Arabidopsis thaliana: one gene and its partners. The protein of the gene in region 3 interacts with the protein of the main gene of each other region in a pairwise test. Each region holds a gene or a part of one and is shown on either strand. Other genes may lie near its edges. The genes, in order: ABCG10, KCO1, CNGC9 and AT3G03210.

Region 1 (5,246 bases), on a different chromosome or scaffold from region 3:
CAATCTTCCGTACACTGAGAGATCATGTTTTTCCTTTTCAGATTCTTGTACCCATTGCAGATGGCTCGGAGGAAATGGAAGCTGTTGCTATCATTGATGTCCTGAAGCGGGCAAAAGCAAATGTTGTCGTAGCTGCGCTTGGTAACAGTTTGGAAGTGGTAGCATCTCGGAAAGTCAAGCTGGTGGCAGATGTGCTTCTCGACGAGGCTGAAAAGAATTCGTACGATCTGATTGTGTTGCCTGTGAGTGCTAACTTCTTCAAATTACTAAAGTTTATAGTGTCAAGCAAGTTGAGGCCAACATGATGAACTTCTCTTTTTATTATCAGGGTGGTCTCGGCGGTGCTGAAGCATTTGCAAGTTCGGAGAAGCTAGTGAATATGTTAAAGAAGCAGGCGGAATCAAACAAACCATATGGAGCAATTTGTGCCTCTCCTGCTCTGGTGTTTGAGCCACATGGTTTACTCAAGGTACGAGAGTAATCACAATAGCACACACATTTGCTTAGATGTGTAGGATCATTACTATATATCCGATGGCATGGAGTATTCTGTTATCAAACCGTTATTTTTGCACTTAAAACTAAGGGAAGGGTCACAATTTTTAATGGATTTTTTTACAGGGTAAGAAGGCAACAGCGTTTCCAGCAATGTGCAGCAAACTGACGGACCAGAGTCACATCGAGCATCGAGTCTTGGTGGACGGCAATCTCATAACGAGCAGGGGTCCAGGAACCTCATTGGAGTTTGCACTTGCAATTGTAGAGAAGTTTTACGGGCGCGAGAAAGGACTTCAGCTCTCAAAGGCAACACTTGTGTAAACTCATGAGTATCTTAGGTAAGAGTGACTTTAATAAGAAAAAGGCTTTAGTATCAAACGATCAATGAGTGTACCGTTGTTGTGGTGAGCTTTGTACTAAGTGTGATGCTTAAAACTGTCTTATAAATAAACGAGTTTACTCTGTTTTTATCAGAAAGTTTTTTTGTTACTTTACATTGCGAATTTTAGAATATAAGAAAGTGCTGAACAAAAAGAAAGAATATGAGAAAGTAAAATTTCTTATAAAATTACAAAACAAATTGAATTATATCTGCAGATCATTGTTATTAACCTAGCTTCTTGTTCTGTAACATCTGTACCATAAGATGAAGAATCCAAGGACTCTGTACCCGACGATGAAACTTGCCATGATACCAAGATTGCTCCATTTCTGAGACTCTTTGAGGTCTTGTTGTTTTAAGAACACGTCTCCTCGATACTCGTTGATCATCAGGCATTCGAATGGATACTTGAAGAGGCTGAGATAATGCATGAACTCCCAGTAAACGGGGATCCTGTCCTTTGCAATGAAATACCCGGAGAAGAGGAAGAAAGATCCCATGAGACCTGAGATTACTGATGTCCCCATTATGAAGTTTGGGACAAGAGCACTGAAACATGCGACAAAAGAGTTTGACATCAGAAGAACAATCCATATCACCAATGAGAAGTAGAGGAAGCCGTCTAGCTCTCTTCTGAGACCGACCAGCCAATAAACCGGCGTAGCAAAGAGCATGCTTATGATCAACAAGAAGGGAATGAATATGAGAGTATCTGCTAAAACGTAAGACAAAACTCTGTAAGCCCTTCTCGATGTCTCTCTCATTAGGATTCTCCTGTCTTGCAAGAAAATTGGAAGTCCCTCTGTTGTGGAAGATAGCAGGAAAGTGAGGATAAAGGCGAAGAACCCGGTTCGCAAGACTTTCGCTTCTTTCTTTTGATTTCCTACGTTCAAGTAAATCGACCCCAGTATAAGACCGGCAATGGAAGCTTGTAAGGCTCTGGTTGTGAACAATTGCTTGGTTCTGAAGATGTTCTTGCAAGATCTTTGCCCGAGTATCTGCACTTCCTCTAACACTGAGTTGCTGTGAGAATCAGATTGATGAAGCTCTCCTCCTGCACTAATATAGCAACTCTTCCATGTTTTGCTATGACCATAACATGAGATTTCTCTGCAACTCTGGGTTCTGATCGGTTCAAGACTCCCTGCAATATCAATTGCATACTCCAAGACATTTACCCGCCTAGGAATCTGGTGACCGGAGAACTTAATCTTCTGATGAAGGCTATAAACTGATCCGTTTTGAACAACCATCCCGTTAGAGAGCAACACTATCCGGTCTATCTGCTCGAGTATGCGAAAACCAGGCTGGTGAATCGTCAGAACAATGGTTTTACCTTGTTTAATCGTCATATCTTTGAGAAGCGTCACAACTTGAAGAGCGGACGCAGAATCCAAACCAGAGGTTGGCTCATCGATCAATATAACATTTGGATCATGAACAAGTTCAACTCCAATAGAAACCCTTCTTCTCTCTCCTCCAGAGATTCCAGATCTTGATCCTTGACCGATCCTTGAATCCGCAACATGTTCTAGACCAAGCTCTTGAATCAGCCTCTTCACCTTTGCAGCCGCGTCTTTCCTCTTTGTCTTCAGCCTCAAGAGTGCGCTGTACGTCAGTGTTTCTTGCACCGTAAGAAACGGAAACAGAGCATCTTCTTGTGGCACAAACCCTGAAACCCTCCTGTACTCAGGACCATCCATAGGCCTACCGTTGACAAGCACTTGCCCTGAAACTTTCCCATGAGAAACTTTTCCGGCTAGAATCTCCAGCAACGTGGTTTTCCCTGCTCCGCTTGGACCCGCGATCGCAGTGATCTCCGCGGATCTTGCATCACAAGAAACATCCTTTAAGATAACCTTTTCCTCCTTCTCACTCAACAAACCACATAAATTAGAAAACTTTGGAGTGTTTCCGCCTATTCTATACGACAGATTCTTGGTTTCTAATCTATATGAGATTTCCCGGCCACCGGGAATAGGAGCTTTTACCGGCAATTCCATCTAAGAAAGAAAGAAGGAAAAAGAAAGCATCAAACTTTGAGAGATAGAGAAATCAACAAATTGAGCAAAGAGTGTGAGATTAAGTGAAGAATAAATGGTAGAGAAGATGAACTAACACACCAAACTTTAAGGAACCTCTCCTTTATTATTCAAACATTCAAAAGCTTCAAGACTTTATTAGCTTTCTCTTATTGCCTTCCATGAAAACCGAAAAGCACTTGACTATGACTAAATTAAACCAAAGATATTTATGATTCCAAGCTTAAAATGCTTAATTTGTTTTTCTTAATAAAGAATTTGTTCGTAAATAATATTGATACAGTTAGATAAATTTATATGAAATTAAACATTTGTTGTTTTTCTTGTATTTTTTAATTTCTAATGAAATTGGTTGACCAAAAAAAATATCTAAGAAATTAAGATATGTAGTTGGTTCTTTTTTTTTTTTTTTTTTAATTGGGTTTTGAAATTGTGAAGAGGTACAAGAAAAGCAAAAAAAGAATTAGTTAGAAAGAGATTTGGTTTCGTCTAGAGATTCTCAAATTCGGGTGAGCTGAAAAATTGACCGTGAAATGTTTGCCTTGTTGGTGAACTTGTTTTATCTAATTTATTAGTTTTTTCTAACAAAGAAAGAGAGGAAACCCAGTTTGGTTGTTATATATTACCTACAATATTTAATTACGTGTTTCGAACTCGCTTACGGAAATTCAGATGTTTAATTAACAAGGAATAATCACGTAAGAAACCTCACTAATTTAATTATTTTTGGATAATAATAATAAAAAGACGCATTATAAGATGTTGTCTAGGTGGGCATTCGGTTAGATGTGGCTGCAAAGGTGAAGGGGCTGATTCAAAGTTGTGACGAAAAAAATCGAATTTTGATTTGGGTTTGGAAAAAACACTTAAAGTTGTGACTAATAAACTTTAATTCGGTATAAAATTAAAAACAACTTGGACCAAACGTAAGCGGGTGACTGGAAAAACGATATTTTTATACCAGTACAATTTGCAAAGTATTGTTTTCTTATATAAAACATACTGTACAATGTTAATTCTTTACCCAAATTCATAAAAAAAAAAAAATTATATCCAAACTTTATAGGTCGCACGTATTTTAGGATCTGCAATAACAAATGTTAGTTAATACTAACATACGTCGACTCAAATGACCCATGTTTAATGAATTAGCATCATCTTCAATCAAACCATGTCGTTTTGATCACAATTTTTCTTTTTCTTTTTTAAACCTAAGATTCAAATCCAAAACTAAAAGTAAAAAATAATATAAAAACACGAAATGAAACAATCTCGACAATCCAAAGAGCAAACAAAATCTTCAAAGTTGCGAGAGAGAGTTTTTTTCTCTAGACCTAACAATGTGTATTAGCAGGTTTCTGCAATGGGTGTTGCCAATCTTCGTGTTATGCATTATGTGCATAAAGATAAGGCCTTCGCGTACTGGTCTTGTACATGTGTCTACGCACCTGAATCTCGGTATTGCTCTGAAGAGCACAAAAAGATGGCCTTAGCAGAACGGGAATATGAGCTACCACATAACTTTGCCAATGTCCATTTGCATACGAATATGGAGGATCTTGTCCTACCAAAGATTATAAGCTATTTGAGAGATCCTCAACTAGGTATCATTGAAATACCTAATCTACAATACATAGACGACGTTTTTAATGTCACTCCCACTGAGCAACCAGATATGTTCTCTACTAACCTCGACGAAAGAGAAGAATTCAACATATGGTTGTTTATGATGATTTCGTGACAAATGGGTTTCTCATGTCAATTGAAATAACAATGGGACGATTTTGAAAATAATGTAAAATAGTAATGATATGTACTACAATTTTTAGTTTTACATAATATCCTTGAAATTTGAAAGATCCATCTAAACCCATTTATGCTTGGGGTTTTTCCATTTTCACTAAAACCTCTCCATTTTTATCATCTTCCAATGGCGATTTCTCGTTCCATCCTTCACCGGCCAGCTAAATCCTTTTCCTCACTGTTCACTCGTTCCTTCTCTTCGTCATCTCCTCTCGCCAATTCCCCTACTGTTTCTCGATCTGCGTCTTCGTTGTTGAATCGTTCACGTTCTCTCGTTTCTGGATTCTCAGCGTTGGTCCGTGCCGGTGTATCTCTAGCTAGGTGTATGTCTACGCAGGTTACTTCCGCTTCGCTGAATGATCCGAGCCCTAACTGGTCGAATCGGCCACCAAAGGATACGATTTTGCTTGATGGTTGTGATTTCGAGCATTGGTTTGTTGTCATGGAAATCTCTCTAGAGACGAGATTATTGATTACTACATCAAAACCCTAGCTCAAGTTGTTGGCAGGTATATATATAG
Region 2 (5,298 bases), on a different chromosome or scaffold from region 3:
TGTTAATAATACAATTGACGATATAAACAAATTACCAGCTATTGAACCAACGATTTGATTTTAAAGATTATATAATTATGGGAAGATGATAACATTATTATTAAAAGGTAACAAAATATTTAACGTCAAAAGCAAATATGGTATAGAGATATAAGGGTATTTTCATGATAGAGAGAAAAGATTCGAGAGTAGTTTTTTCTAATACTTAATTTTATAATTTTATATGTATATAGAGTGCAATTTCCCTAATATAAACAAAAAACCAAACACATAGTACTAGTTTTGTTTCACAAAGCACAACGCAACATTTTCGTCTAGGAGTTTCACGAATGAGTAGCTGACACGTGGCTGAATACCGACCATCGATAGTAGATTACAAAAGTATCCCTAACATCTCCTTCTCCGCCGTGTCAATCGCAAACAATCGAATCCGGATCCGATCCGATTCGCCTCAACACCATCATTATTTATCTGTTTCCCCCTTTTCCCAAGCTCTAACATTTAGGGTTTCGCGAAAAATCAATCAGGTGAAAAATAATCGAATTATTGTAAAATTGATACATAAATTCACATTCAAAAGCCAAAGAGCTGAGAAATTATTTTTTGTAAACTGTTGGTCCTTCGGAGAGTGTCCATGAACGTTAGTCTTCAATGGATACATCTGTAATGCAGACGAATCTTCCCAAGGTAGAAGACAATGATGAATGGGGTAAGTAATTTCGCTTTAATCGATTCAGTTGCATTTCTTTATTGAAATTAGGGTTCTTTCGTGTTTATGTGATCGGATTCAATCATTCAAATTTCTGTATCTTCTTGTGTAATTACAAATCTTGAGTCGATCATTTGATTGGTGGCAGACACTGATGGGTTTGTGATTCCGAGCTTGGAGATTGAAGAAGACAAGGTTAATAATAATAATGATTCAGAAGTTGAAACATCAAAACCTTCTTCTCCTAAGGTTAGTGATTGATTTCTTACGTACAAGACAAGTTTCAAAAAAATGTTGTTAACTCTTTATCTCTCATTGTATGATTTTGTAGAGTAAAGCTGAAGAAAACATCTACTTAGGACCACATGGAGCTCCTCCTTCGCAGCTACAAGATGGTGGTAGTAACACATCGAGCCGCAAGCAGCGGTTTAAGCAGATGCTCAAGGAAGCAGATCAGAAAATGAGCGGCTCTGGTCGAGAAAACAAAATGGCTAACTTAAGAGAGCTTGTAGGCGGGGGTGCAGGTGCAGAGAAAGGAACTAATATGGGAAAAGGTGTTTCAAGAGACTGGCTTGACCCTCATTGCCATGAATCTCAGTTCGAGAAACGACGACTTCCATAACGCGAGAAACCGCTATCTTTTGAAAATGTTTTGTATCAATCAAAATACCAAAAAAGTTTAAAGCAATAAAACAGTCTTCATACCCTGTCCTTTGAGAGAATCATCCATGAATTCTTGGTCATGGAGCATAACACTAGAGAGCTTCATATGTATAGATGTATGTAAAATTATACACTCAGCATCAAGAAACGATCAAAGAGTTAGAGTGTGGCATTACATTACAAACACAAACAGGAAAAAACAAACAAAATTTCGAAAAACTGTTCACTCTCTTCGGCTTTTTGTTGTGTGAAGGTATAACTAAACAAAGATTCTGATTCGTCTTCGCAAGATGATGATGATGATGAGGCTTACCTTTGAATCTGAGACGTGGTCTGAGCTAAAACGATGTCAGAAGTCGTGAGAGTTCCTGATTCATCGTAATCAAGTTGCTCGAACTCATCCATTATCCCAGAAATATCTTTCTCATCAATCTTACCCATTTCTTTCAGTTTATACACAATAAACTCTGCAGCTCTGCAACACACAATAGACAAAAAAAAAAGAATAAGAAGAGGAAGAAGGAAACAGAAGATAGAATATGTCTGATGTCTTTCTTACCCAACAACTCCATCTTCATCGAGATCAGCTGCTTCGAGATCATTGTTTGTGATTCTTCGCGTTAAAACCCATTTCACCAACGCCCTCTGTTTGTTTTCTGTATTTAGCTCAGCTACATAAAGGAAAAACTGAGCCAAACATATGCTGCTCGTCAAGATCCAAAACACAGCAAAAAGGCGTCCGGCTTCCGAGTTAAAGCTCTTATCTCCATAACCCAATGTTGTAACCGTGGAGCAGACGCAGTAGAAAGCTGAGATAACCGGCATTTTCTCAACCATTACAAGGAAAATCGTGCCAACAATGAAGAGGACTACAAGGACAAGGCATGTAGCATAGCATTTGTATCTCAACTTGTTAGTATGCAACTCCTTGAGAATGTCTGTTGGACCAAAGCTTTGACGCAAATGGAAAGCCCTAACGAGCAAAGCCTCTTGTTTCTCCACTAGATAATCCGCCGCTCGACTTAAGAGGTGACCAACGAGGACCATTCCCGAGAAGACGAAGGCACAAGCAAGTAGCCTTGAGGCGGAACTATTAGGGACAAGGTCACCGTATCCAACAGTTGTCATCGTTACTATACAGAAATAGAGAGCATCTACCACACCACTGGTTTTATGACCGGAGATCTGGTCTCTCACGAGGTAGAAACAGAGCGTACCAATGGTAAGATATAAAGCCAAGAACATGATCACTCGCCTGAGATTCGGGTTTAGATCACTGAACATTGGGATTTTACTCGGATGAGGAGGTGGTTCGTCGATTTTGACATCATCATTGTACATACAATCACCACGAGGAGCACTTCTAGAGCGACGCAATCTTCGTTTTCTTGAAGAAGAAGTTCTTGAGTTCAGGTTGAAATCTTGAGCCATGGTATCTATCTTCTCAGTGGGTAACAATGGCGTACGAGCTGCATCACTCGACATTTCTAGACTCAAACCAGATTAACTATGAGATCTGCACAGAACAATCAAATCTCATGTTTATGTTACGAAAACCATCGCCAAAATTGACATCTCCTGTTCTGAGAAATGAACATATGTATCAAAAAATTTGAATTTCGTAACAGAAACTTGTCAGAACTTAGATACAGATTTTGAGTTATAGCTAAAGATTAGACCTTTAGACAATGAAAAGATGAGTTTTGTGAGAGTAATCAATCAGACACAGAACACGAACTGAAGGAGGAAGAAGAATTGAGACATACCCAGGAAAGTAAGATCGAAATCAAAAGAAGCGGTGTTGTCGGATCTCGCAATTGGTCTTCATTGATGATGTTCTCACAGTTGGCCAATTCTTGTTTTTATTTTATTTTAATTATCTTCTTTTTTTTTGGTCAAAATTTATTCTCTTCAAATCCGATAATTTTGTTTTTATGATCTTCTTCATTTTCTTGATAGGATTTTTCATTAGTATCTTAGTATAAAAATGTTTTGTTTTGTTTTTTAAATGTTTTTTTTCATATAGAAGAATGTATGTAATGTCTTAATTTTCTAGTTAGTTTTCTATCCTTCTGTTTTTTTTTTGTGCAAATCTAGTAATTAGTTTTATATTATACACTCATAATCACAAGTAATGTACAAGCCAATAAGCCAAAATATCCAGCATGACGTCATGTTTAATCTATATCATACAATAATCTATATGTTTTATGTTAATGTCAATATGTTAAGATTTTTATAAGTCGATAAATCACATTTTTTTAGTGTTATACATGACATCAAAGATGTTATTAATGCACTCATATGATACATATATATGTGAAGAATTGCATACTTCAAAACATCCCCACACACAAAGAAATATAACACACACTAGTATTTGACATAGTTCTAAAACATTACTAAGTGATTGATATACATGGTAATTTGACATAATTTTAAAAACATTCAACCACTCGAGTATAGGCTCATTGATATGCATGTGGAGAGCGATATAAGATCATTCAACACCAACATAGACCATCTAAAGCTGATCAGGCCAGAGAAATGATTCAATTGCAAAAACCCTCTTGTCTTCAAGAGATCCTTCAAAGGAGAATCCATATTGTTTGAGGAGCAAGTCAAGGCGGAGATCATCCATAACTTCGTAATCAGACTTGGAGTATTTAGGGTAGTGAAGAGGGACTTGGAATCCACTTGGGAATTCTTCTTTCTTCATCATCTTTATAATTTTGTTGCGGGTGCTTTGGCAGTTGCTGGCTTGATCCATATGGTTCGAGTAGCCGAACATTTGGGTGAAAGCCGATGTAAAGAGCAATTTCATTTCCATTGTCTTGGTTGATTTTAAGATTTTATACAAAAAAGGAAAGAAAACGAAGGTTTGAAATAGAGAGAAAGAGTAGAGAAGAAGAAGAAAGAGAAGCAAGGAAGCTTAAGACAAAATACCAAAAAAGGAGAAGCTTGAGACAAACTCTAAGGCAAGCTCGATGTTTGGTTATAGTAAAGGCGACCAAAGACTAGTATATATATAGAGGCAGGCAGGTAGGTCAGTAAGACAATTATTATTTGTCTTTTCGACATGATAATCGTCATTTGAATTTTATTTTTATCATCAAACTATAGTATGTAATATAAGATGTACTAGAAATTATTTGTTTTTGTTTTTTTAATTAAACAAAAGTATGATTATAACGAGTAGTTCTTGTTCTAAACCAAACCAGTAAACCTTTTTCCTTTTAATGAAAAAAAAGTATGATCATAAATAACAAAATGTGAGAACGACGGCTGTGAGCTACATGCACCAGGAAACGCATCGGCCAATGATGGTTCATGCATTCATGCACTCATTATCTTAGGTGGGGACAAGTATAAAACAGTTGTGGTGTGCAAGGAGAAAGTAGGTGAAAGTATTTAATATTTATATTAACTAAAAATAACATACTATGTTTTTGAGGTTATATGAGTTTTGGTCTTTCTTTTTAATTTAAAACCATTTTTATTGGCATTTTTTGCGGAATACCTTGTATATTCTAGGAAAAAACACTTTTTATATAAAACAGTTAAGATTATGATATAATTAACAAATTTTTAATAAAGAGAGAAATTAAGAAAGAAGAAGAAAAATGGCCATGATAAATACAGTAGTTGGTTTTACTATTCGGTTGGTGATCCTTTTGTTCATTTTGATAGGTATGAATCTCACCAACGCTTCCATATACTTTTTTCAGTTTTGTTCAAATCATGAATCCATAAGTTTAACATCTTAATTAAGAAAATTACCTATTAAATTCAATATGTCAAAAGCATGCAAAAGGAGAGATATTCTTTTTTTGCTTTGATTTTTAAAGTTTGATGTATATGTTTAGATTTAACAATACAAAACTTTTTTTAAAAGAAAATAATATTCTCTTCATCCCACAAAGATA
Region 3 (7,209 bases):
TTGAATCAGAGATTCCTGTGTTCTCAGTGAAACTGAAGCAATATATACTGAAATAGTTGTGCTTATAATTCTTGTTGATTCTCCCATAGATGACAGTAGATCATCTGGTTATATTTATGCAGAATTGAAGGCTCTTATTCTAGTTGGAGGATTCGGAACCAGATTGAGGCCACTTACCTTGAGCATGCCTAAACCACTTGTTGATTTTGGAAACAAACCCATGATTTTGCATCAGGTAGGTTAGCTTCTTCTTCTTCTTTTGTATTTGCTCAAGTTTTCACAGTTTCTTTTGTTCTCATTATGATGCATTCGCAGATTGAAGCTCTAAAAGGTGCTGGAGTGACTGAAGTTGTATTAGCTATCAATCACCAACAACCAGAGGTACATACATTCATTGTCCTTAATAACGATACGATAACAATTGAAATTCTTCCGTGTCATCCTCCTTCTCCTTGTGTGTTTGGTATTACTCAGGTCATGTTGAACTTTGTGAAAGAATATGAGAAGAAGCTAGAGATTAAGATTACATTTTCCCAAGAAACTGAACCGCTTGGAACAGCAGGGCCTCTCGCGCTGGCTCGGGATAAGCTGGTCGATGAATCAGGCCAACCCTTTTTTGTACTAAACAGCGATGTTATCTGTGAATACCCATTGCTTGAGATGATCGAGTTTCACAAGACTAACCGTGCTGAAGCATCAATCATGGTGACCGAGGTAGTCAAACAGGAGCATTTTCTGCATTTTGTGAAGTTTATCTTTCATCTGTTAATAGCATTTTCTGATATTAACAGGTTGATGATCCTTCTAAGTATGGTGTGGTGGTTACAGAGGAAGGTACAGCGAGAGTTGAAAGTTTTGTCGAGAAACCGAAACATTTTGTGGGGAACAAGATCAACGCTGGGATATACCTCTTGAGCCCATCTGTTCTTGACAGGATTGAGCTGAGAAGGACTTCGATAGAGAAAGAGATATTCCCTAAGATAGCTTCAGAGAAGAAGCTTTACGCGATGGTACTACCTGGTTTTTGGATGGACATTGGTCAACCGAAAGATTACATAACCGGGCAAAGAATGTACCTTAACTCTCTAAGAGAGAAAACTCCGCAAGAACTGGCCACAGGGGATAACATAATCGGGAATGTTCTCGTGCACGAAAGTGCGGTTATAGGAGAAGGTTGCTTGATAGGACCTGATGTGGTGATTGGTCCGGGATGTGTGATTGATTCAGGTGTAAGATTGTTTGGTTGTACTGTAATGCGCGGTGTGTGGATCAAGGAACATGCGTGTATCTCTAATAGTATCGTGGGATGGGATTCAACCGTTGGAAGGTGGGCTCGAGTTTTTAATATAACGGTTCTTGGCAAAGATGTTAACGTCGCCGATGCAGAGGTTTACAACAGTGGGGTTGTTATCGAAGAGCAAGGTCTGTGAAACCAGAGCCTAGACCTAGATTAGTTAGTTCCACTGTTTCCAGAGTCTTATGAACCGCAATATTCTTACAATTTAAAACAGATACAAACTCTATGGTAAACCATATCATAAACCGGTTAAAAATGGTATTCGACACCAATAGAGAAAAACGTTTTTCAGATCCATCCCTAAGCAAGTTGTGTATATTTCTTTCGTAAATGTTTTGAGACATTCTTATAAGGGACATATAAATTATTGTAGATAAAGCCTATGTTTCTTAAACACGAAACTGTGATTTATTAATAGACTATAGTTTGGTGTATGTAATTAACGTTGAGAAAAATGAAAGACGTGACGGCAGAGAGAGAGAGAGTGGACCCGACCCGGACGGCACGGAGACACTTTCAGTTTCTTCTTCTTCTCTTCTGTCTTTGTGATATTTCTCTCAAAATCAATATTTTTTCATCTGTGAAACGACTTCGTCTCCTCCCACTCCATTGTCACTTTCTTCTTCACCCTTCTCTCGTCTCCGTCTGATTTGGCGTGTAACTTCTTTCTACCGTAATTCTCCTTCGTCTTCTTCTCTGGTATATCTCTTGCATTCCCTCCTAATTTCTTAGCCAATTACTGTTTGGAATGATCTTCATTTTGTACTTCCCATTGCTTGATTTTGGTTGACACCTTTCTCGTTTAAGATCGTCTCGTTTTCATGCTGAAAACTCAAGTATTTAGTTTTTTCGTTTGTACCCTTTTGTTGATGTTTTGGTTTGGGGAGAAAATGTGGTTCCTTTCAAGTTTTTTCCGTCAATTTGAGTTCTCAGGTCAACGAAAATGGATGGATGTTCTTAACCCATTAACCAAGTTTGATTTTTAGAGAGATTCTGTAAACAAACAATAACATTTTTTGTGCTTGAATTATTTTTATATTTATTGCAAGTTTAGGATTTTGCTGCTTGAAATGATTTTGATCATAAATGTTTATTACATTTTCTTATGTGTGTAAAAACAGGTTTGGGATTCATGAGTTGAGTCACAAGGAAAAAGCATGTTAGACTGTGGCAAAAAAGCAGTCAAATCACAAGTAATCAGTGGCCGTCTCGAGAAGTTTGTAAGGTAACTCTCATTATTGTATATAGTTGATCGAAATTTAACATGATGATATCATTCTAGCAGATTCAGATATTGTTTAGCCAAAAAGGACATTCCTTTACTTCAGGTTTGAAACTAAATGGATATCTTTAGTTTATTTTGTTCTTCACAGGTTGGATAGTATGGATTCTAGGTACTCGCAGACTTCTGATACTGGTCTAAACAGATGCACTCTCAATTTACAAGGACCAACACGTGGTGGTGGTGCTCAGGGAAACAATGTATCTTCTGGTTCCTTTAAGAAAGGGTTTAGAAAAGGTTCTAAAGGTCTTTGGTCTATAGGAAGATCAATTGGTTTAGGGGTTTCACGAGCAGTTTTTCCTGAAGATCTTAAAGTATCAGAGAAGAAGATTTTTGATCCACAGGACAAGTTTCTTTTGCTCTGTAACAAACTGTTTGTTACTTCTTGCATTCTCGCTGTGTCTGTGGATCCGCTCTTCTTGTATCTTCCGTTTGTTAAGGATAATGAGAAATGTATCGGTATAGACCGGAAGTTGGCTATTATAGCAACAACGCTGCGGACAGTAATTGATGCGTTTTATCTTTTTCACATGGCTCTTCGGTTTAGAACAGCTTTTGTCGCCCCTTCTTCTCGGGTTTTTGGTCGAGGCGAACTTGTGATTGACCCTGCACAGATAGCAAAACGTTATTTGCAGCAGTATTTCATCATTGACTTTCTCTCTGTGCTTCCACTTCCACAGGTAATAACAGAAATGCCTCTCCCAGTGTTCTCTTATCTTCCATTGTTTCTTTGTTCTCTAAATTTTTATGACTAGTTTATGTTATTCTTTGGATTTTTCAGATTGTAGTTTGGAGATTTCTTTACATCTCTAAAGGTGCAAGTGTGCTAGCAACAAAGCGGGCATTGCGATCTATCATTTTAGTTCAATATATTCCAAGATTCATTCGGTTGTATCCTTTGAGCTCAGAGTTAAAGAGAACAGCTGGTGTTTTTGCTGAAACTGCTTGGGCTGGTGCAGCTTATTACTTGCTACTCTACATGCTCGCAAGCCATGTCAGTACATACTATCTTTGGTAGCTTTCCTCTTATATTCTCAAAAGATCCATTCATCACTCTCTCTTTTTTCCCTTATGTTTTTATCAGATTGTTGGGGCTATATGGTACTTATTGGCCTTGGAACGTTATAATGGATGCTGGACCAAGGTTTGCAGTAATAGCAGCTTGGACTGTCACAGAAACTTCCTGTTTTGTGGTAATGAAAAAATGGATGGTTATGCAGCTTGGACTACCATCAAAGATTCTGTTCTGCAATTAAATTGCCCAGTTAATACAACCGATAATCCTCCTTTTGATTTTGGGATCTACTTAAGAGCCTTGTCCTCTGGCATTGTCTCATCTAAGAGCTTTGTCTCTAAGTACTTCTTCTGTTTATGGTGGGGACTTCAGAATCTCAGGTACGTAATTCTAAAGAATCCGTCTTCTATAGTCATTATGAAAAGTCTCTGTTGCATTAGTAACTTTGTCGATGTCAAATGCAGCACTCTTGGTCAAGGGCTTGAAACCAGCACATACCCTGGAGAAGTTATATTCTCCATAGCACTTGCCATTGCTGGACTTCTTCTCTTTGCTCTTCTTATTGGAAACATGCAGACTTATCTTCAATCCCTTACAATCCGGCTTGAAGAAATGAGAGTGAAAAGACGTGATTCAGAACAGTGGATGCATCATCGAATGCTTCCACCGGAACTGCGAGAACGAGTCAGACGATATGACCAGTACAAATGGTTGGAGACACGCGGAGTTGATGAAGAGAATTTGGTTCAGAACCTCCCAAAGGATCTGAGAAGAGATATCAAACGCCATCTCTGTCTGGCTTTGGTTCGGAGGGTAAGTTGAATCTTACTTTAAAAGCCTTTTTCTAATCTTGATTCATAAATGAAACCATCTTGTTCTATTTTTCTTATGGAAAGGTTCCATTGTTTGAGAATATGGATGAGAGGCTGCTCGATGCAATCTGTGAGCGGTTGAAGCCGTGTCTGTACACAGAGAGCTCTTATTTGGTTCGGGAAGGCGACCCGGTTAACGAGATGCTCTTCATTATCCGTGGTCGGCTTGAGAGTGTGACCACCGATGGCGGAAGAAGCGGTTTCTTCAACCGCAGTTTGCTTAAAGAAGGAGATTTCTGTGGGGAAGAGCTTTTGACATGGGCACTTGATCCCAAATCTGGTTCCAACCTACCATCCTCTACCAGAACCGCAAAGGCTCTAACTGAAGTAGAGGCTTTTGCTTTGATAGCAGATGAGCTCAAATTTGTGGCTAGCCAGTTCAGAAGACTACACAGCAGGCAAGTTCAACACACATTCAGATTCTACTCGCAACAATGGAGAACTTGGGCTGCTATCTTCATACAAGCCGCGTGGCGACGATACGTGAAGAAGAAGAAACTTGAGCAACTCAGGAAAGAAGAAGAAGAAGGAGAAGGATCAGTTACTAGCATCAGAGCGACGTTCCTGGCTTCAAAGTTTGCTGCAAATGCACTTCGTAAAGTTCACAAGAACCGTATTGAAGCAAAGTCTACTATAGAACTTGTGAAATATCAGAAGCCTTCAGAACCTGATTTCTCTGCTGATGATACTAGTTGACCAAATTTTACCAGAAAAGTGCTAATGTCTATGAACGCTTATAACTTGTATAACTCGGATTGAATTTTATTGTTTGATTTGTGTTGCTACATTAAGATAAAGAAAAAGGTGGTAACATAAAAGATTATTTGTGATTGTGATTTGTTTTATATGTGTTTCTTTCTGTTTCCTGAAGATAAAATATGAAAGATACTGCAGGTTTATTGAGAGATGACATAGTTTTTGATAAGTTCATACAGAGATAACATAGTCTCGGATCATCAACCTTTCAGGAAGTTTTTGCAGAGCTTCTGCCATAGAATCCTGTCTGGTTGCGCAGTCTCCATCGTACTCTTTGCCTTATCCGCAAACTCTTGCTGAAAAAAATCAATCACATTGCAATTCTTGATAAGGCTAACTACATTGAGAACAAGAACACTCCGAAATGTTTATCTAGCAAAAATAGAGATCATAGAGAAGGAGAACAAACCTCCATCAGCTTCATATTAAGGACTCGGTCCACAATCTCAAACAGAATCTCTTTGTTATACTCTGGATGCCCTTGAATACAGAAAAAATGATCTCCAATAGAGAACATCTCGACGTTACATACCTCAGAAGAAGCAAGTAGTGTAGCAGACTCAGGAAGTTCCAACACTTCATCCTGATGACATTTTATAATAGCTAAAGATGCTGGGACCTCAACGTCTCCAAAGTAACCTCGTAGTTTTTCATTGTCTTTCGCTATGGTTATGCTTCTAAGTCCCATATCTGCACCTTTGAGTGCTCTTCCTATCTTCCCACCTTTAACTCTAGTAATTATCTATAGCCAAAAGAACAGAGACACAATCCAGAACAAAGCAAACGTTCATCAACAAACACTCTCTCCATCAATAAACCAACAATATAAAGATATCAATCTAACTATAATGGCATTGGAACAACTCGAGTCTGATCTAAAAATTGAAATGAGCTAAATGTGAGTCAATCTAAACCCTAAGATTCCAACCGATCAGATCCAAATCAGAAATTGAGCAAAACTGAATTGAAAGGAACCTGGTGGCCGAAGCAGATGCCGAGAACTTTCTTCTTCATGTGATCAAGTTTCTGACAAACTTCGCAAAGCTTAACAATCCAATCGGCGTCTCCGAAAGCATCATGTGGACTACCACTGATAACGAAACCGTCGTACTTGTCTAAATCATTCTCGTCGGGAAATTGTCCGTCGATGACTCGGAATAGATCCCATTGCTCACCTTCTTCGCCGAAAGTTGAAACGAAGACATTGAAGTAACCACCGTAAGTCTTCTTCACGAACTCTGAATCACACGTCGCTAAAAACAAAGCAAACCTCTTCTTCTGCTCAATAACCACCATCTTCTTCTTCTTTCGTCTCAGAGATCACACCGATGAAGCAAAAGGAGAGATAGAGATTCGGAGAATGGAAATGTGTAAGTTAGAGACGACGACGGGGAACAAGATCAGACACGCCAAGTGAGATTTTTGTTAAATAAAGAAAACAGAAAAAAAATAGTCAAAAATTAGTTGAAAAAAAAAGAATCACACATCGAGATTAGCTGTCTATAAGATGACAACTCCACCTAATAATTTATCTAAGTTTAGAATCACATTTATTTGTTTACCGTAGCTCGATTTTACGTGTATTTTTTGAAGATCAAATAATCTATTTATACACGTAACCTATACCCACTTATAAATGACTAAATTAAAATTACAAATACCAGTCTTCTTCTTTTTGTTTATCGGTAATTTATTATTATTATTTCTTATAGCAGTCGGTAATTTAGTTAAAAGCGAAGATATGTTACATTATGTGATGACCATGACCATATAATAGTTATGAAATTACACAAACGTAGTAGAATTTATTTAGACCATGAACGTGGAAACTAAACCAATTAGTGGGTTCTTCGTCCTTTCAGAAAATTCTTGCAAAGCATGTGCAAACGCTGCGTGTCTGGTTCAAACTTCTTGATCGAATCCTTTGCTTTCTCCAAAATTTCCTCCTACATATTTTTTAGTTTAAAAAATCGTTTTAGAGATTCCT
Region 4 (5,119 bases), on a different chromosome or scaffold from region 3:
TATAAATGAATAATATATGCAGAATTTGATAACTAAAGTAGAATCGCGTAATTAATGTTGATCAGAAATCATATTTTTCAAAAAATTTAAATCATATTTGATTAAGTGGATCTCATGCATAAACAAGGGAAACGTCAAATTAATATTACCTGGTAAGTCCCATGGCTCACACTTGTAAAGATCAACTTCAGCGATAACTTCAAGTTCGATTTCTAGACCGTTGATCTTTCTTTTTAGATAGTAAGTAATTAGTTCCTCGTCTGTTGGATGGAATCGGAAACCTGGAGGTAACGAGACAGGAGCCATATATATAATCTCAAGTTGTTCTTGAAGTTATTTTGTTTGAATCAATTTCAAAGAAAGAAAGAGAGAGAATCGAGACTCGAGAGGAAGAAGAAGAGATTATAGAATAGGTATATGTTTTGTGTTCGTTGAGGGCTTGGAGAGCAAGGTTATATATAAAGAGGTAATGAAAAAGGGAGATGCAAAAGTGAATAAAGGGAAGGTCCCCATCCCAAAATAACATATAATGTTAAAAAAATTCAAAATTTAATTAATATTTACAATTCATCAATTTCTGTCCGACGCATATATAATATTGTTCGAAGTGTTTTTTTTATATTGATAGATAATTAAAATGCTAACAAATAACATGATCACGTGTAGATTCTGGTACTTAACCGGAATAATTAATCAAAAATTGCCGCCCTAAATGTAAACCGTGTTTCTTCATCAATTATATTATCCCATGCTTCTCCGAGAGTGGTCGGTCTGGAATATATGTGCACTTGTCAGATTTCTATTGGTTGCATGGGAGATCGAATCTTGGGTTAACCCAAAACTGTTGCAATCTCTCTTTCTTTTTTTTCTTTTTTTTTTTTGTTATTTGGCGGCACTTCTAACTGAAATAACTGTCTCTTTTGTACCCACTTGCATGCGAATCCTTTGTTTCCCTTCACATTGCCATCCGATCTACGTACATAGATCTTTTTTAAAAATAGATATCTTGATGTTGTAAATTTATACTAGTAGTGTTTTACATTTTATTTTGTCATTTATATATGTCTATTTCTGTTTCTCATATTCATATTGTATATCGTATATCGAATAGAAAGATGAACTCCATTTTATGGTCGTTCCATCAGTTAATGCTCATATATTTTCTAGTGTATTAGGCTGTTAATGTAAGGTTGTGTGATTCGGGAAAAAAAATTGAAATTTCGGAGATTTTGAAACAAAAATTAAAAAATTGAGTGGCCAGAAATCCTTTCCTCTCCATATTTAGTGTCGTCATATAAAATACCAAAACTTTTGTTCCAATATAGAAAAACTATTGACCGAAAGTCCAATTACGTACTCCAAAGACTTATGGATATAAGAAATTATAGTTTGAGTATTTATCATTTTGGTCGAAACTCGAAAGCTATATATAATCATATGAACATACAGTCACATTTGGTGTAGGCGACTATAAAACTTATCTAAAGTTGATTTATCAAAAAAAAACTTATCTAAAATTTGGAAAAATGAAATCGATCAGATATATATATATATATATATATATATATATAAAATTTGAACAAGCATATGGTTTTGAGATGGTTATATGTATGATCATGTGGGATCCAGCAGTTGTGAACATGTGAATAAATCCTTGGAAGCTATTGATGGGCCAACCCAAGAGAATCACTTCTCAGCCTTTCTCATCATCGTCATAACCTTTTTCTCTCATTATTCCAAATTCCATATTCTCTTTCTTCTTTGTATCACCATATATATACACATATATATATATCTTTAATATATCTACAATGTGTACATAGTACATACCCTTCTTGAGACATTTCCCTCACATGAATCCATCTTTTGGTTCTTTACTTAATTCTTTTTAACGTTCACACACATTCTATAAACTAATAACATATTAGTCCTATGATTAGCCCCACCATTAGATTGGGTCATTGCCTCATTGGCAAAAATATATAAATTTGGTTAGAATGAGAAAGTAATAAATTAAAAGTTAATATGTAAAAATCGGTTGAAACTATTATGAAATTTCGGAGTCTACAAGATCCCCAAGACTTAAGACCGTGAAGAAAAATCACGAAATTACATGTAACTTTAGCTATAAAAAAAGAAGTCTAAATGATTATAATGATTTTTTCTCCATTTATTATATGATGAAAACGCGGATCTACAGAATTTAATGTCATTCCAAGATGAAATCGTACGTATGAAAATACACATAAGGAAAGTGTCATTGATTTGTTGAACGATGTGGGCTAAATGGGCTTTCCCGTGGGCCGAGTAACTTATGATCAATCTACAAGCGGTCACGTGAATAAATGGGCTTGACCGTGGGCCGAGGAACTTATGATTAATCTAAAAGCGGTCACGTGATTCCCAGCGGTGAGCGCACGTTAGAATAGTTCCCAGTTCCATAATGAGGCTAAAGTGAGCCGAACCATGTCTGAGAGTCAGAGAGATGAGATCATAAATTAATGGAGATCTTACAAATATGGAAAATTTTAAATACAAAAAATCGAACCAAAGAAGAAGAAGCCTACGGTTGTTCTGTTCCTTTCAATCTCACCAAATTTTCATCTTCACCTTCAATTTTGATAGATTCTCTTCACCGAACCAAATCCGTAACCCTAGCTTCTTCTTAAATTATAGAGAAAAAGAGTTAATTCGAATCTGGATGAAATTGGTTTTGTCTAGATGGAAATCTAGATGTGTCTGATTCCGAAATCTGAGTCTGAGAGATGCTAGGAGCGATTCATTTGGGAGTATTAGCAGCTTGTTTCGTCCTCTTCGTTCCCATGGCAATGGCTGGTTGGCATCTGAGCAGGAACAAGATGCTCTTCTTTAGTGGCGCTTTGTTTATTTCTCTCGCGGTTTGTGTTCATCTCACGCCTTATTTCCCTTCCGTTTCCGACATCGTTGCCTCTGTTTCCTCTGTTGTTGTCTACGATCATCGTATCTCTTGTATCAACGAGGTTAATCAGATTGTCTGGGATGTTAAACCGGTACCGAATCCGGAGTCTGTTCGTAGGAACAATGGCTCAACAAAGCTTGATTATTTCGTGAAGAACTGGGATTGGATGAAATCGAGGAAAGTTTTGAGTTGTGAGTTTCAGAAATTGGATAAGTTCGATGTTTCGGATTTGTTGAATGGATCGTGGGTTGTTGTTGCTGGTGATTCTCAGGCGAGATTCGTGGCTTTGTCTTTGTTGAATCTTGTTTTGGGTTCGGATTCCAAGGCTATGGATTCGGTTAGAGGGGATTTGTTTAGGAGACATAGTGATTACAGCATTGTGGTTAAGGAGATTGGGATGAAGCTTGATTTTGTTTGGGCTCCTTATGAGAAAGATTTGGATGATCTTGTGGTATCTTATAAGAAGATGAAAAAGTATCCTGATGTTGTGATCATGGGAACTGGGTTATGGCATATGCTTCATGTGAACAATGCTTCAGATTTTGGTTTTAGGTTGAGGCAATTGAGTAGTCATGTGGAGTCTCTAGTGCCCCTTACGCCAAAGGAGCAAGAAGGAGGTGGGTCGGTCTCCGGTAGATCTGTGCATCTGTTCTGGATTGGGATGCCGGTTTTGATCAACGGGATGTTGAATACGGATGAGAAGAAGGAGAAGATGAGTGATACGGTGTGGCATGAGTATGATAGATCACTCGGGGAGAGTAAGATCTTACGTCAAATGGGTGGTCCTCTTATCTTGCTTGATATCCAGTCGTTTACCTGGAACTGTGGACCGCAATGTACACTTGACGGGATGCATTATGACTCTGCGGTCTATGATGCCGCTGTCCATGTCATGCTCAATGCGTTGCTTATTGAATCTCATCAATCTTTATGAGTTCTTGACACGTTTTTTTTTTGTTTTTTTTCCTTTTATTTTGTTTGGGGTTCTCTTGTAGAGTTTTAAGAGAAGTGGGATGTTCATAGGAATTTTACAACACACGGTGATCCTTTTGGCCTGAGTGATCTTCACATTGGAGAAGTAAGTGAACTTACATTCATGGCTATAATAGGTTTAATATCTTTTGACTTTGAGAAGTTATAACCTTTAGCTATTCTGATTCTTGTTATATCACAGTACCCTTTTGGATTCTTTTTACGATAAGACTCAGTACTCATCATTAGCTTTAAGCACTTGAAGGAAGCTTTCGCTCCTTAGTAATGTAAACAAATAGATACAATAGTGATGTTTGTGTGATCACTGTTCTTAGTACATTGGTGAGTTTTTGTACCTATGCGTGGGAGAGAGAGAACTATGAAATGCAAAAGTCTGACCCAAGTTCTTTCCTTTTCAACCCTAAAGATAACCTTAGACCAAGATCGATATACTTGCCATCAAAAAATTCTGACCCGGAAAAAAAGAATCATGGGATTGTATCTCAATGTGTCCGTCTCTGTCTCACGGAGTCTCGAATTGTTTCCCTTCGAAGGTCTGTCCATAATTCCAGTTTTTCGGGGAGACATTGTAAGATGTCACGGTTGACCTGTCACTAGAAGTTACTTCAAATGAGAGAGCTTGGTTCCTGAGATCAGCATTAATATGCCAATTTTGTCCCCAATTACGACCCATAGGTAACCACCCGGTTCTCGACCCTTTGATCTTCACAGCAGCTATATCACCGGACCCTGCAACATTGGTGATCAAAACCGAAATGAAAATGCCTCCACCATCGACTGTAAACCGCATGCTCCCTTCCTTTCTACAGTTGATCCTGTTTTGGTAAAAGCCAACAAAAATGGTTGTAAGTCATAACTCATAACTTAAGTGATATGCAACTAACTATTTATAGGCTCAGCTCCAAAACACTTCACAAACTAATAAAGGATCTAATGATCCATTGTATCATGAACCTAAATAGTAGTTTACCGCATTGTGCCTAGAACTTCACAGAAACAGTCAATTTCAGTCCTCTCATGGCTAAGATGAAAATGAGAGCAAAGCTACTCAACTATGATGAGCAAACCTATCTACCATTTCTCAGAATCTTGTACACACTAAGATAAAACGATTAGGGGCAATAAAGTAAATTGCATATTGAGGAAGAGATTTAGGGTAAACCCATCTCACATAATAAAGCACACGGA

What was found.
Region 1: the proteins of CNGC9 (region 3) and ABCG10 interact in a protein complementation assay, tested with the Arabidopsis thaliana proteins (one large-scale study listed by BioGRID).
Region 2: the proteins of CNGC9 (region 3) and KCO1 interact in a protein complementation assay, tested with the Arabidopsis thaliana proteins (one large-scale study listed by BioGRID).
Region 4: the proteins of CNGC9 (region 3) and AT3G03210 interact in a protein complementation assay, tested with the Arabidopsis thaliana proteins (one large-scale study listed by BioGRID).

What each region holds. Positions count from the first base shown.
Region 1 is NC_003070.9:19,860,515-19,865,760, reverse strand, and holds ABCG10 (ABC-2 type transporter family protein), read right to left. Parts: upstream 2,941-5,246; 5' UTR 2,884-2,940; coding exon 1,111-2,883; downstream 1-1,110. Other genes in the region: DJ1B (Class I glutamine amidotransferase-like superfamily protein), read left to right, coding at 42-242, 329-469, 622-819; AT1G53265 (uncharacterized protein), read left to right, coding at 4,286-4,663.
Region 2 is NC_003076.8:22,529,277-22,534,574, reverse strand, and holds KCO1 (Outward rectifying potassium channel protein), read right to left. Parts: upstream 3,218-5,298; 5' UTR 3,139-3,217; exon of another isoform or gene 2,889-3,138; 5' UTR 2,858-2,888; coding exon 1,932-2,857; intron 1,848-1,931; coding exon 1,682-1,847; 3' UTR 1,453-1,681; downstream 1-1,452. Other genes in the region: AT5G55640 (Na-translocating NADH-quinone reductase subunit A), read left to right, coding at 652-709, 858-958, 1,041-1,331; AT5G55620 (uncharacterized protein), read right to left, coding at 3,897-4,202. UniProt on the Arabidopsis thaliana protein: Voltage-independent, large conductance and potassium-selective tonoplast ion channel. Regulated by cytoplasmic calcium and pH. Does not mediate slow-vacuolar (SV) ionic currents, but essential to establish VK currents.
Region 3 is NC_003075.7:14,924,927-14,932,135, reverse strand, and holds CNGC9 (cyclic nucleotide gated channel 9), read left to right. Parts: upstream 1-1,780; 5' UTR 1,781-1,996; exon of another isoform or gene 1,997-2,133; intron 2,134-2,418; 5' UTR 2,419-2,454; coding exon 2,455-2,522; exon of another isoform or gene 2,523-2,670; coding exon 2,671-3,259; intron 3,260-3,360; coding exon 3,361-3,573; intron 3,574-3,663; coding exon 3,664-3,974; intron 3,975-4,058; coding exon 4,059-4,407; intron 4,408-4,490; coding exon 4,491-5,162; 3' UTR 5,163-5,302; downstream 5,303-7,209. Other genes in the region: AT4G30570 (Glucose-1-phosphate adenylyltransferase family protein), read left to right, coding at 185-235, 316-381, 475-714, 792-1,430; GGP3 (Class I glutamine amidotransferase-like superfamily protein), read right to left, coding at 5,423-5,518, 5,632-5,964, 6,198-6,518; AT4G30540 (Class I glutamine amidotransferase-like superfamily protein), read right to left, coding at 7,061-7,168. UniProt on the Arabidopsis thaliana protein: Putative cyclic nucleotide-gated ion channel.
Region 4 is NC_003074.8:738,222-743,340, forward strand, and holds AT3G03210 (Pmr5/Cas1p GDSL/SGNH-like acyl-esterase family protein), read left to right. Parts: upstream 1-2,482; 5' UTR 2,483-2,765; coding exon 2,766-3,872; 3' UTR 3,873-4,088; downstream 4,089-5,119. Other genes in the region: NAC045 (NAC domain containing protein 45), read right to left, coding at 150-306; EXPA13 (expansin A13), read right to left, coding at 4,434-4,746. UniProt on the Arabidopsis thaliana protein: Component of the plant cell wall polysaccharide acetylation pathway. Does not directly catalyze O-acetylation of xyloglucan but exhibits weak acetylesterase activity in vitro.